2 linked regions of the Caenorhabditis elegans genome follow. The protein of the gene in region 1 interacts with the protein of each later gene in a pairwise test. Each region holds a gene or a part of one and is shown on either strand. Other genes may lie near its edges.

What was found.
Region 2: the proteins of B0454.8 (region 1) and cnk-1 interact in a two-hybrid assay, tested with the Caenorhabditis elegans proteins (one large-scale study listed by BioGRID).

The regions. Positions count from the first base shown.
Region 1 is NC_003280.10:3,040,145-3,045,195, reverse strand, and holds B0454.8 (C6 domain-containing protein), read left to right. Parts: upstream 1-1,737; 5' UTR 1,738-1,789; coding exon 1,790-1,916; intron 1,917-2,377; coding exon 2,378-3,872; intron 3,873-3,951; coding exon 3,952-4,213; 3' UTR 4,214-4,253; downstream 4,254-5,051. Other genes in the region: sri-29 (Serpentine Receptor, class I), read right to left, coding at 17-478, 528-656, 709-873; B0454.5 (uncharacterized protein), read right to left, coding at 4,390-4,546, 4,849-4,973.
Region 2 is NC_003281.10:10,269,731-10,277,572, reverse strand, and holds the start of cnk-1 (Connector enhancer of kinase suppressor of ras), read right to left. Parts: upstream 6,317-7,842; 5' UTR 6,270-6,316; coding exon 6,188-6,269; intron 6,141-6,187; exon of another isoform or gene 6,098-6,140; coding exon of another isoform or gene 6,046-6,097; intron 5,833-6,045; coding exon 5,716-5,832; intron 5,665-5,715; coding exon 5,501-5,664; intron 4,916-5,500; coding exon 4,577-4,915; intron 3,816-4,576; coding exon 3,696-3,815; intron 3,266-3,695; coding exon 2,874-3,265; intron 2,600-2,873; coding exon 2,304-2,599; intron 1,550-2,303; coding exon 1,354-1,549; intron 1,293-1,353; coding exon 891-1,292; intron 198-890; coding exon 129-197; intron 1-128.

The sequences.
Region 1 (5,051 bases):
TTCCATTATCCTGTACCTGCATAATCAAACTTCTCAGCGCAACCTTATGCCTGCTCAGTGTCCCCTTCGATAGGCGACTTTTAACATCTGATAGAACTTTAAACATTCGAAGTACTAGAAGAGATATCACAATGATCGTCTTTAAGGTTCCAGCAGCAGTGAGCACTAGGAATATAATAAAAATATATGCACTGTTGAAGTATGTGTAATAAAATTCATTAAGCTGCTGATACTTCGGGACCAGCGACGGATGGTCTTGACTAATCAACTTCCATTGATCTTCTTTACTAGTCTCGCTGAAGTACCATGCGAGTGTGATAGCCAGTGAGTAGGACATGCATAAATGGTAGATTATAATATAGGTTAGGCTACTTGACGGGTTTGATAAAGTTTTCAGCTGCATGATTGCCTTGTACTTGCGGAGGAAGCATATTGTGAGAACCTCGATTTGACCGCTAAGGAGTAATGTGAATAGGGTCTGAAAGTTTGGCTTTGTTGTTTGACTGTTAATTGCTCAAAATGCTTACAAATAGCGTATGCGTGCTCCAGCCAAACCAACGTGACATAAACCCATGCCCATATCCAGAGAACAGTGGAAATAGTGGAATAGGCTGGAATAGGAAGGCAATGTTCACGTCAGATGCCGTACAAGATACCTGGAATTTTTCAAAGATTTTTTTGAACATACAAATATTTTGTTTAAGTTACCTGAAAAGCCAGCAAATAAAATCGAAAGTTGTCTAGCTTGCCGCTTTGAAACAACAGAAGGTATATGACTAATAAGTTGAGTAGTAATGCAATTGTACCCGACACGTAATAGTGATTAATCAAATGCTCGGGGACCTCGAAGTCAATATTCAAGCTTTCTGACATGTTACTAGAAGGAGTGTGCTCAAAATTGGCAGGAAAAATGAGGAGATTGATTGTTTGGGGGCTCAGCATAAGACATATGTTAAAAAGTCACCTGTCAATATTAATATTAACATCACATTTCTAGATATGATCGAACAATGTTAAGAACAAAGAAACATGAACCACATAATTTCTTGACCAATCACCGCTCGGCCACGCCCACGTTTGCACCAATCAGCGACTCTCAGCACTTTCTGATCTTTGAGTATAATCTATAAGCGGTGGAGATCAAGATTTTATGTTAAAATCTTCAGGAATTTCATTTTTTCGTATCAAACTCACATTGCCTGTCTTGTTCCATGGTTCTGTCATAGGACCCCAAAAGAAGCAACTTGGATTTGAGCCGTTGTAACTCTAAAACGGTAAAAGCTGGTAAAAGTAAAATGTTAAAAGTTGTCAACTAATAAAATATTCATCACATTTTAATAAACATTTCCTGTAACTCTAAAATGGGAAGAGTTATCAAAAAGTTGTCAACTAACAAATTATTCATCACATATTTTTAAGCATCTTGTTAGTTGACAACTTTTTGCTAGCACGTTTTGTTTCAGGGATAAAGGAGATCAAAGGTTTTTTCTGAAATCTGCAATTTTATATTATTATATCTATTATTTTATTATTATATCTATATATTTATAATCTTATATCTAGATTAAAACTGATTTCCGATCACTATCCTGATTTTTTGATAACTATGCGACAATGCTACGAAAATCTCTCCTCTAATCAGTCCGACGTCACAACGAAACTAGAGACATAGAGGAATCAAAGATATCCTGTCCTGCCTGCTTTTCGATTTTTTATATCATTAAATCCTTGAGAAATTTTTCATCTTGATCTCCTCTTCCGTGATTTGATCTGATTCATTCCATTAAACATGTCGTCTTCCTTAGTCTGTTGGCTAAGCTTTTCGGTTCTATTGTTAATTGCTAAAAATTCAGAATCTTGTTTCGCTACTCAGACTCCACAGCAGCCAATTGTGACAAGTACGGTGGCTCCGGCAGGTAAGTCGATTTTCTTAAGTTTAGGCCTAGGCTTAGGCTTAGGCTTAGGCTTTGGTTCAGGCTTAGGCTTAGGATTAGGCTTGGGCTTAGGGTTAGGCGTAGGCTATGGTTTAGTCTTAGGCTTAGGCTTAAGCTTGGCGTCAGTGGCGAGCGTTAGCTCTGACGCTATTTAGGCTTGGGTTTATAGCGTTTTTTTGATTTTTCAAAGGGTTTTAGACTTAGGTTTAGGTTGAGGCTTAGGCTTAGGATTGGGCTTAGGCTAAGGCTTTGACATAGGTTTAGACTTAGTTAGGCTTAGGGTTAGGCTTGGGCTTTGACTTAGATTTAGGCTACGGCTTAGGCTTAATTTTGGACCATTTTTCAACTTTCAGGGGATTTCCAGTGAAAAAAATTTGTGAAAATGTATTAAAATATTCCAAAAAAATCCGAAAAATATCCGAGAAGCCAAAAAAAACTTTCAGAACCAGCATGCTCTCCGGACACACTTGTTCTTGGACAAGGAGACAATCAAAACCCCGAAGTCGCCATCGATGTTACACATTCAGCAGTTACAACTACAGCCGGTACCTCCTCAATGACAATTACTTGCTCTGGAGCCACTGACTTCAATGTGCAAATGGAGCTTAATGGAGCCTTCACACCAGCCGAGAACGACCAGGATCCACTACCCCAGACAGTTACTATCAATGCTCAGTGTAATACCGCCGATATGAAATGGAACTACGTGACTGTGATCAATGGTGAAACGTTCACCGAACCTCTCGACAGTGTGACCTGCCTACAAGTTCAGAATTTGCCGGGAGAGGGGCCGGATCCGGAGCCGGTGGCATGTGATCCGGCGTTGATTACTTATGGAGTTGGAGACGATCAAACCCCTGAGGTCGCCATCGATGTTACACATTCAGCAGTTACAACTACAGCCGGCGTCTCCTCAATGACAATCACTTGCTCTGGAGCCGACGACTTCAACGTGCAAATGGATCTGAATGGAGCCTTCACCCCAGTGGAAAACAATCTGGACCCACCTCCCCAGACGGTTACTATAAATGCTCAGTGCAACACTGCAGATATGATATGGAACTACGTGACAATGGTGAATGGACAGCCATCCACACAGGCGCTTGACAGTGTGACCTGCCAACAAGTTCAGAATTTGCCGGGAGAGGGACCGGATCCGGAGCCGGTGCCATGTGATCCGGCGTTGATAACTTATGGAGTTGGAGACGATCAAACCCCTGAGGTCGCCATCGATGTTACACATTCAGCAGTTACAACTACAGCCGGCGTCTCCTCAATGACAATCACTTGCTCTGGAGCCGACGACTTCAACGTGCAAATGGATCTGAATGGAGCCTTCACCCCAGTGGAAAACAATCTGGACCCACCTCCCCAGACGGTTACTATAAATGCTCAGTGCAACACTGCAGATATGATATGGAACTACGTGACAATGGTGAATGGACAGCCATCCACACAGGCGCTTGACAGTGTGACCTGCCAACAAGTTCAGAATTTGCCGGGAGAGGGACCGGATCCGGAGCCGGTGCCATGTGATCCGGCGTTGATAACTTATGGAGTTGGAGACGATCAAACCCCTGAGGTCGCCATCGATGTTACACATTCAGCAGTTACAACTACAGCCGGCGTCTCCTCAATGACAATCACTTGCTCTGGAGCCGACGACTTCAACGTGCAAATGGATCTGAATGGAGCCTTCACCCCAGTGGAAAACAATCTGGACCCACCTCCCCAGACGGTTACTATAAATGCTCAGTGCAACACTGCAGATATGATATGGAACTACGTGACGATGGTGAATGGACAGCCATCCACACAGGCGCTTGACACTGTGACCTGCCAACAAGTTGAGAATAGGAAGTGTAATCCTGAAGCGGTAATGTTGGGAGTGGGAGACGCTAATCAGCCTCAAACGATGGTCGATGTTACCTATTCAGAGTTAGTTTGGAAGCATGAATTCATGAATTGTGAATCATGAATTTAAGTTGTAAAAACGTACTTAAAATATTTATTCCAGCTTCATGTCGACACCAATTGCCGGAACAGCCGACTCCACTTCCACAATGAAAATTAGCTGCTCTGCAATTGATGGGTACACCGTTTTAATGCAATTGAATGCACAAACAATTCCACTGGAAGGCCAATTCGAACCCCAAGAAGTAACAATTACTGTAACCTGCAATAGTGCTGATATGACGTGGACCTATACGGCAGACGCCGGAACCGGACCTGTAACTATTGATGTTAATTCAGTGAGATGTCTGCACAATCAGAGATAATGTAAAGTGCTGGTTTAATTTAATAAAATAGTACTAGATTATATTTTTTGACAAAGGAATACCAAATACAAAATACAAATTGGACTGCCCTACTCTATTATTTTATCAACACCTACCTAGTTGTTGTAGCTATGATTTTGGTAAAATTCCTACAAACTAACAAATTCAAAAATGTTTTATTTCACAAATGTTAACACACAACAACAAAAAACACTCATGAACAGCCAAAAAATTGAGAAAAACAGGAAAAACGTGGCAATATTGTAGGTCCACCAGTCGCAGTAGGCACGGGCCGTCCATGAGCCGAACACCCAGTAGCAGCCGAATATGCACCTGAAAATTGAGACCCGAAATGTTTAGCAGAACTTTTGATCATTTTGTTAGTTGAAAGTTTTTTGATAGCTCTCTTGGTTGTAGAGTTAAAGGGGTTTAAAGTTGGAAGAGGGAGAGGGAGAGACGCAGAGAAGCAGAGCGCCTCGTCGTCTGCGTCCCCCTCTCTCTCGCACCCACCAACTTCTAACGAGCATATCTCTTGAACGGTTAGAGATTGAAAGAAATTTTCAATTACAAAAATTATCAGCGCAAAATTCTGCATCAAATGAGCTGAGAAATTTTCAAAATCAAAAAAGTCTTACCAAACAAAAATTAGGATATTCAGGAGCACGTGAATGTAGCCGCAAGGATATGGGAACCCGGATCTTCCTGTGGCATCCCTGAGCTCTCCGTCGTCGGATGGTAGCGGGGATTCACGTTTTCGTTGCTGAAAATTTTAAATTGAATATGCGCCAACAAGTGTACTGGTTTTTGTGGTTTATCGTGCTCATTGTGAACTAGGATT
Region 2 (7,842 bases), on another chromosome or scaffold:
TTCGTGGCGAGACCCAGTCCAGTCATAATTATACTCAAATTGAAGCTCTCGGCAAGCTGAATATGAATATACTAATGAAAATGTCGAAATCTCCAAGTTTCAAATGAATTTGACGAAATAAAGCTCACTTCCTCCAGTCCAAAGCGGTGAAACATGAAAAATGATAGTCGAGCGGAGCAGCAGTGATGCGGAATATGCTGAAAATTACATTTTTAGGAAATATGTGTAGCTTTCACTAGTTTTCTATATCTGAATTAAATTATTGAGAGTTCCATGAGAGAAACTGAATTTGCGCGTCAAATATGGCGCATTGGGTCCGCGCGCCTTTTGCAATAAAAATACGGTACTCGGTCTCCCCACGCGAAATATCTCGTGGCGAAAACTACAGTAATTCTTTAAATGACTACTGTAGTTTCGATTTACGGGCTTGACTTTCGAAATGATATTTTCAAATTTCTTGCAAACTTTTAATATTTTTTCGATAAATAAATAATTTATTTTATTGAAATAAAATTAAAATTATGCAAGAAATGAGAAAATATCATTTCGAAAGTTAAGCCCGACACTACAGTAGTCTTTTAAATAATTACTGTAGTTTTCGTTACGAAATATTTTGCGCGTCAAATATGTTGCGCAATACGCAATCTCAGGATTTGTGCTATTTTAACACACGTGGTGTCAGAATGTCCCATGTCGGTTTGATCTACGTAGATCAACAAAAAAAACGGGAGTTTGAGACACCGACTTCTGAACTGATTTTGCTGACGTCACATTTTTTTGGGCGAAAAATTCCCGCATTTTTTGTAGATCAAACCGTGATTGGACAGCCTGACACCACGTATTAATAAAAATCTTAGAAAAAAACACATTTTTCGCGTTTTTTTTCGTACTTTTTCTTGGAAGTCTTCAAATCTGTCGAATCCGAAATAGTGGCCTTAATCAGATTGATAACCATTTCAGGCCGTTTCGTATTCTGATTTGTGTACAGCAAAAGATAATGTCCACGTAGACACATCCATATTTTCGGCCATTTATTCGTCAGCTCATTCGCATTCAGTTCCGCCCGTGTTTTCCGCCTCCGCACCCATCCTTCAAACAGTTTCTCCATTCCTGCGTAGGCGGCTGATATTGGTGAGCCCGGTAGATCGTCGGGGTTCGGTGACCACTCGGTTTGACTCGTCGACATTTGAAATTTCCCGAATGGCGCCGGACTGCTCACACTGTTCATTGATGACGTGGATGGGGATGGGAGTACGCCGAACGCTGATTCTTCCACTGATGACGTCATTCGGCTGGAATTTCAGGGTTTTTACTGTTTTTTGCTGTAAAAATGTAAAATTTCTTTATTTTTACCTAGAAACTGGCAATAATCTCGGCGAATCCAGACTAAATCCGGAAATATTCGAATCACCGACAGCTCGGAAACTTGGAGCCGCAAACTCTTGGTATGGAGCCTTCCAATCTTCGTCTGAAACTCGTGCTTCCGGTAAATTTAGAACTTTCAGTTCTTCTTTGTCGACTTCTTTAATTTGAGCAAACTCGTTGGGACCTGGAAATTAGAAATTTGGATATTGAGATCGTACTAATGGAAATATTCAATTTGAGTATAAACATGACTAGGTTTCACTATTTAGGGTCTCGTTCCGAATACCTTGGGGGTACTGTAGGCTAAACTAGCGAACTAAATTCAGAGCTGTCGATCTAATTTCTTTGAAATCTGAAAATAATCAAAATTTTTAAAAACGTGGTATTTCGCCACAATATACAAAAAATTCGGGGTCTCGACAAGAATTTTGAAGCGAAAAATTGTCGAGTTTCGGAAAAATCTCAAAAAAATTTTTTTTATTCATTTTAAGCTTTTCTATTTTCAGATTAGGGAAACTATTAATTTGGCCTAACTAGACTTCGAATACTGTAGGTCCCGTCACGAAAAACCTACAGTACCCCGAGATTTTCGTGGCGGGACCCAATTTTGCTTTGACTATAGTCGACTTAAGGCTTAATGATTCAAAAAATTAATTTAATTTTTTTTTTCAATTTTTTAAACGAATTTGATAGCGTTCCGTGTAAAAAACTGTTGATGATCGAAAAATTTTGTTAAATTTTGCCATTTTTCTTCTTTTTTTTTTAATTTCAAAATTTTTTAAATTCAAATTAGCAGAAAATTGTATGAATTCTTATGTATTTTTTTCTGGTCAAAACATTTTTTCATTTTTGTTTCAGATTTTGGCTGGCCATACTCAAATTGCAGTCCTTCCGTGCACAAATTTGATGCCAAAAAATGTATTTCTCTAAAAACTTACACTTGACATTAAAAGTCAACTGATCATTGACGACATCATCCTCAATATCAGTAACAAGCTTATTATCAATAAAGCTTCGAACATAACCATCCGGTTGATGACGCATTGTTCTTGTTCTTTTAGCAATTCTTGGAACTAATGCTTCTTCTTCTCCATCTACATTTCGAATAAATTCATGAACATCCCAATCATCTTCATCATCTCCGTCTAGAGCTCGTTCGTCTATATTTTTTCGTTCTTTTCTCGGACACGCAGAGGCTATGGAGGAACGGCGGATTAGGCGGCGACTTATTCGGCTGGAAATATTTTTTTTTTAATTTTTTCAGAATGAAAATATTGCTCTTCTAGAAAATTGATTTTATTTTGAAATTTCAAAAAAAAAAGAAAAAAAACATTAATTTTTTTTCAAATTTGGAGTGAAAAAAGGAAAATTCCGAAAATTCCCAATTTTAAACTTCAAAAATAAAATTTTAATTTAAAAAAAATTAGCAAATCCAATTTTTGTCTTTAAAAATTTTTTTTAATTTTTTTGTTCAAAATTTTGGAAATTTGTTGAAAAAAAATTCTCACATTTTTCTCTCATTTTCCTTAATAATTTCCGAAATCACATGACAACTTCGATGCCTTTTCAATGGTTCAGATTGTCCAAATGGATCATAATCATCTGTTGAATAGGTCTTCGCCGTCTGACTCGACGGAGCAAGAGCTCGAGCCGCCAGCTTCGATTGTTTCGGTAGTTGAGGCTCTCGGGGACGGCGTTTCACGATAAGTGAGAGCTCCAGGACATCCAGAGCTCCAACTTGTTGAACAACACTCGTCAAATCCCATCCAACAACAGTTCGTCCATTGATCATTAGAATTTCATCGCCTGCGTCGATTTTTGTACACGCGTCTGCTGGGGATCCTTCTTTGATTTCACTAATTACATGGACACCACGGTATGAGGATTGAATGTTGAGACCCTGCAAATTGAGATGGGATTGAGGACTCGATCGTTCCAGGTTTTTCCTCAAGAAAATTGAAAATACTGGAAAAAAATATTTTAACAAAATCAAAATTCTGAAAATAAAAATTAAAAAAAAAATTTAAAATTAATTCAGGTTTTCCAAGTTAAAAAATGTTTTTAATATGAAACAAATCGGAAAAATCAACTTATTTCTGCTTTCCGTGTTTGTTTTTCGAAAAAAAAATCGGAAAAATAATTATTTCGATTTATGCTCAACTTTCTGGTTTTTCCTCAAGAAAATGAGAAAATGTTGGAAAAATTCTTCGATCTCTTCGCGAGCGTGAATAAATAAATAAATTTCATTTTTGAATAATTGAAAAAATCAAAAAAAATTTTTTTTTGATGAATTCCAGGATTTTTCCATTTTTTTGTTGTAAAAAACCTACCCAATTAATATTATCAGATCTTCGGCGAAGTAGAGCAGATTCGATAAAACACGCGTACAGGATCAACGGATCATCACAGTCGACAATTTTCTGGCATTCATAGGCCAGCTCTTTTGACATCTGGAAATAAATTTTTTTGTAGTTTAATTTTATTTAAAAAATTTTTAATTCAAGAACGACTGAAAAAATTTCAATTTTTTTAAATTGTAATTCAGTTAACTATAATTTGTTAATTTTTTGCAATAATTTCTAACTTGTGATTTTCAAAAAAAAAACAGTTTTTTTCATATTTAAAGCCATCAGAATTAAAAAAATTACATTTTTTATAAAACATTTTGAGGAAAACAAAACGGATTTTTTTTTTGAGAAAAATTAAACTTTAAAAAATAATAATTCGCTTTTATTGTCTGGAAAATTGATTTTTAATTCAAAAAAAATTATATCGTATCCTGTAATTTTTTTTTCCAATAAAATAAATAATTAATTGTAGAAATTAATTTCTAATTACTTTAAAATGTTCTTAATTAGAAAATGGATGTTTTCTCAATTTTGAAAAAAAAATCCAATTTTTTTGCAGAAAAATCAATTTAAAAAATTTAAGAATCATAGATATTGTCTGAAGAATTAATTTTTTTAAATTACATTTTTCTGGCAAAAATCTGATTTTTTTTTAAATTGAAAAATTTTAAATCCGACATTTTCTGAAACTTTTGAAGCTGATTATTTTTCGATTTCAAGTTTTTTAATAAATATTTTTAATTATTTGAGAAATATTCATTGAAATCTTCAGAAACTGTCTGATTTGAAAAAAAACTTTTCAAATTTTTTTAAAATTCAAATTTTCAGTCAAAATATCCCATCGATAACCTAAAAATCCTCACCCTAACAATTTGACTTCCAGTCTCAAACAAAGCTTTCGGTTGTACATTAACATTTCTCAATAGGTTCCACATAAAAGAAGAAACACTATTTCTAACGTTAATAAATTCGGGTTCCTCGTCAAACGGAGTCCGATCAAGCCAAAAAACGAATCGTTTCGTGTGCTCGGCGAGCTGTAACACTGCATTTGACACACTATTCAGAATATTCACAATTTCCGATCGACGGATCGCTTTCTCCCGCATTCGCATCGCTGACGTCATCGTGCGTTCTACGTAGAGACACGAGGTTTTTACTTGTTGAGCCAGGCGTTGGAGATTCTCGTGTTCCGATTCGTGACACTGAAAATGAAAATAATTTTTAAAAATCAACAAAATTTCTGATAAAAAATCTTGAAAAATTAGACTTTCAGAGTTTTTTCTTGATGTTCAGGAGATTAGTACAAAGCAAGTTTTGAATTTTTCTGCGAAAAATCCAAAATTAGGCGGTAGGCAGGCAGGAATGCCTACTTTGGTTTTTTTTTCCAGAGTAGACAGAAAATCATTAAAACATCTTTGAAAAAATTGCGGAGAAGTTAGTAAAATTCAAAATCTCTTAAAAATCATTAAATTTTTAAAAAATCGACTGAAAATCCTAGAAAACTTATAATTTTTTACCATTTTTCATGATTTTTAGCAGCTTTTTCTGCACAAAATGTTTAGTTCCGATGGAAGTTTTTTCTCACTAAATAGTGGTTTTCTCCGAAAAGACACTTTTTTTCAAAAAAAAATCTTAAAAACTTCAAAAATTTGCGGAAAAGTTAGAATCTCTTCTGAACTTTGTGGAGCTTTACAGCTGATTTTTAGAATTGGTTGAAAATTCAGCAAAAACTGCTGAAAATTCTATTTCGAAAAAAATCCATTTTCCTGTTGAAAACTCCATCTTACAAAGTAGAGAAGCAACGAAACAGCCTGAAAAATCGTTTTCCTAGCTCCGAGAGCCGAAATGCCAATTTTTTTGAGCGAATCGTCGTCGAGAGCCTCCAATTGTTTTCCGCTTTTTATATTGTCACGAATCATGCCCAAATATGGATTCATTTGATCGCCAAGTCCTGGAAATTATTAATTTTTCAGTGAATATTTTTTTCCGCGGCGATAAAAACCTTCAATCCATCTTGCAATTTCTTTTCCTTTCCACTGCTCAACACATCGGGCAAACGAGAGTTGGGGCTCGTAGCTGGCGGAGAGCATCGGACTTCCCGAACGGAGACCGGATGACACTGAAATTTAAATTTAAATATTTTAATGAAGAAATCTGTTTTTTTTTCAGTTTTTGTGGATTTTTAAATCAGAAACCGTCCAATTTCGCTGGAAATAGCTTCATTTTCGTTTAAATATGTAAGGTTTTCTGGAAATATCGCCAATTTAATTGAAGAATCAATAATTTTTGTGGATTTTCCCAATTAAAAGTTTCGCAAAAATCAATTTTTTACCTGTTTCTGGTGAATTATGTTTTAAGCTAAGGTGCCGGGTTAGTGAGGACATTAAAGTCCTTGAAAAACAATTTTTCGAACAAATTAGTTTCTTCCCCGGCTACAGTATCCACGGTTACTGTAGCCGAGAAACTGTGCCCACCTGAACTAATCCCAGAGGAGATTCCCAACGCCTGTTTGGCTTCAAGTGGTGTCGACGGAAATCCCATTGTGGTTGAGAACATATTCAAAAATTCGGAACAATCACAACATTATGCTAGTTTGGCTGCAGCTGTAAGAATCCAGAATTTCCCAAATTAATTGTAAAAATTGAGGAAAAAGTGCAGAAGGTTGCATAAAATCAACAATTTCTTTTTTTAACTGAAAACAAACACTAAAATTGATTGATTTTTCGCGAAAAAGTTATGAAAATAAATGAAAAATCAAGTACAGTACTAATTAAAAACAAAAATTCCAAGAAAAAAGGAGCATTGCTCAATTTATCGAGCGGGTCCTATGGAGAACTCGGCGTACTCCTCTCGGAGGAGACGTGGCCTAGAATTCTCCTCGTCCCTGTCGATTTACGATGTGACACGGCCTCCACCACGAGAAATGCGCAGAGAGAGCGCAGAGAAAAAGGCGGTCTCTGCGTCTCTCACCTCCACAACATGGCGAGAGTGCGCGCTCAACCACCTCACTTAGAACGAGTCGGGAAGAAAGGAAATTGCATATTTCTGAAAAGAAACAATTGGAACGGATAAAGAGTACTGTCCTCTACAGTCTGGCATAAATTTCACAGAATAGTTTTGTCATTGAAATAAGTGAAGAGAGTGAACATAATATTACACATTCCCCTCTAAAACGAGCAAGTTTAAGATTTTTTCCCAAATTTTTTTTGTAAAATGTATTCAATATATTCCCAATTAATGAGTTAATACAAAAAAACCCCAATAAATAAGTTATGAGAGAAACTTTTTTTGACATCAAACATTTACAGCTCAAAATTTCAGCACTTTCCGGAAGATAGTGACCGTAAAATGAAAGATTTCAAAAATCGGAAACAATACGATTGTTCTAATTTTTAATACGCACATTTTAACATATCACACATAAAAATCCGTCAATGTTGAAAGATGTTATTTGATCTAGAAGGTTGACTACAGTACTAAAATGACCAAATTTTCAGGAAATAGTTGGCTTGGACTCAAAAATCGGAAACAATACGATTGTTCTAATTTTTAATACGCACATTTTGACATATCACACATAAAAATCCGTCAATGTTGAAAGATGTTATTTGATGTAGAAGGTTGGGTGCTTTGATACAGTAGTACCCACTCTACTGCGCCCTCACACTTTGGATGCTCCTATCTCCGCTCCTATGAAAGTTACAAAAAAGTTGTCAACTAACAAAATGTTCAGTGTGACATTGTGAACATTTTTTCTGTTGACAATATTTTTCTAACTAGTAAGACAAATTTTTTACAGGCCCCGAAAGCCGTATTTATGAGAAAATCAGAGATCAGTTCATAACTCAAAAAATAAAGACATTAGAAGAAAGTAGTCAACTACAAATTTGTTAGATATCTTATATAGAGTATGTTTCCGATAAAAAACTCAATTTTAATGTTCAGGATTTTTTGACATGGCCAGTTTAAGATGATCAATTTTCAAAAGTCAAAATCTATTATTTTTGTAGATAGAAATGTAGTTTTTGCTGGTAAATGTTGTTTTTTATCTGCTTAACATTTTCTCAGTTGAACATATTTTTGTATCTTCAGCGAGAACAGAGATTTGATGGTTTTAAGAGAGGGTACT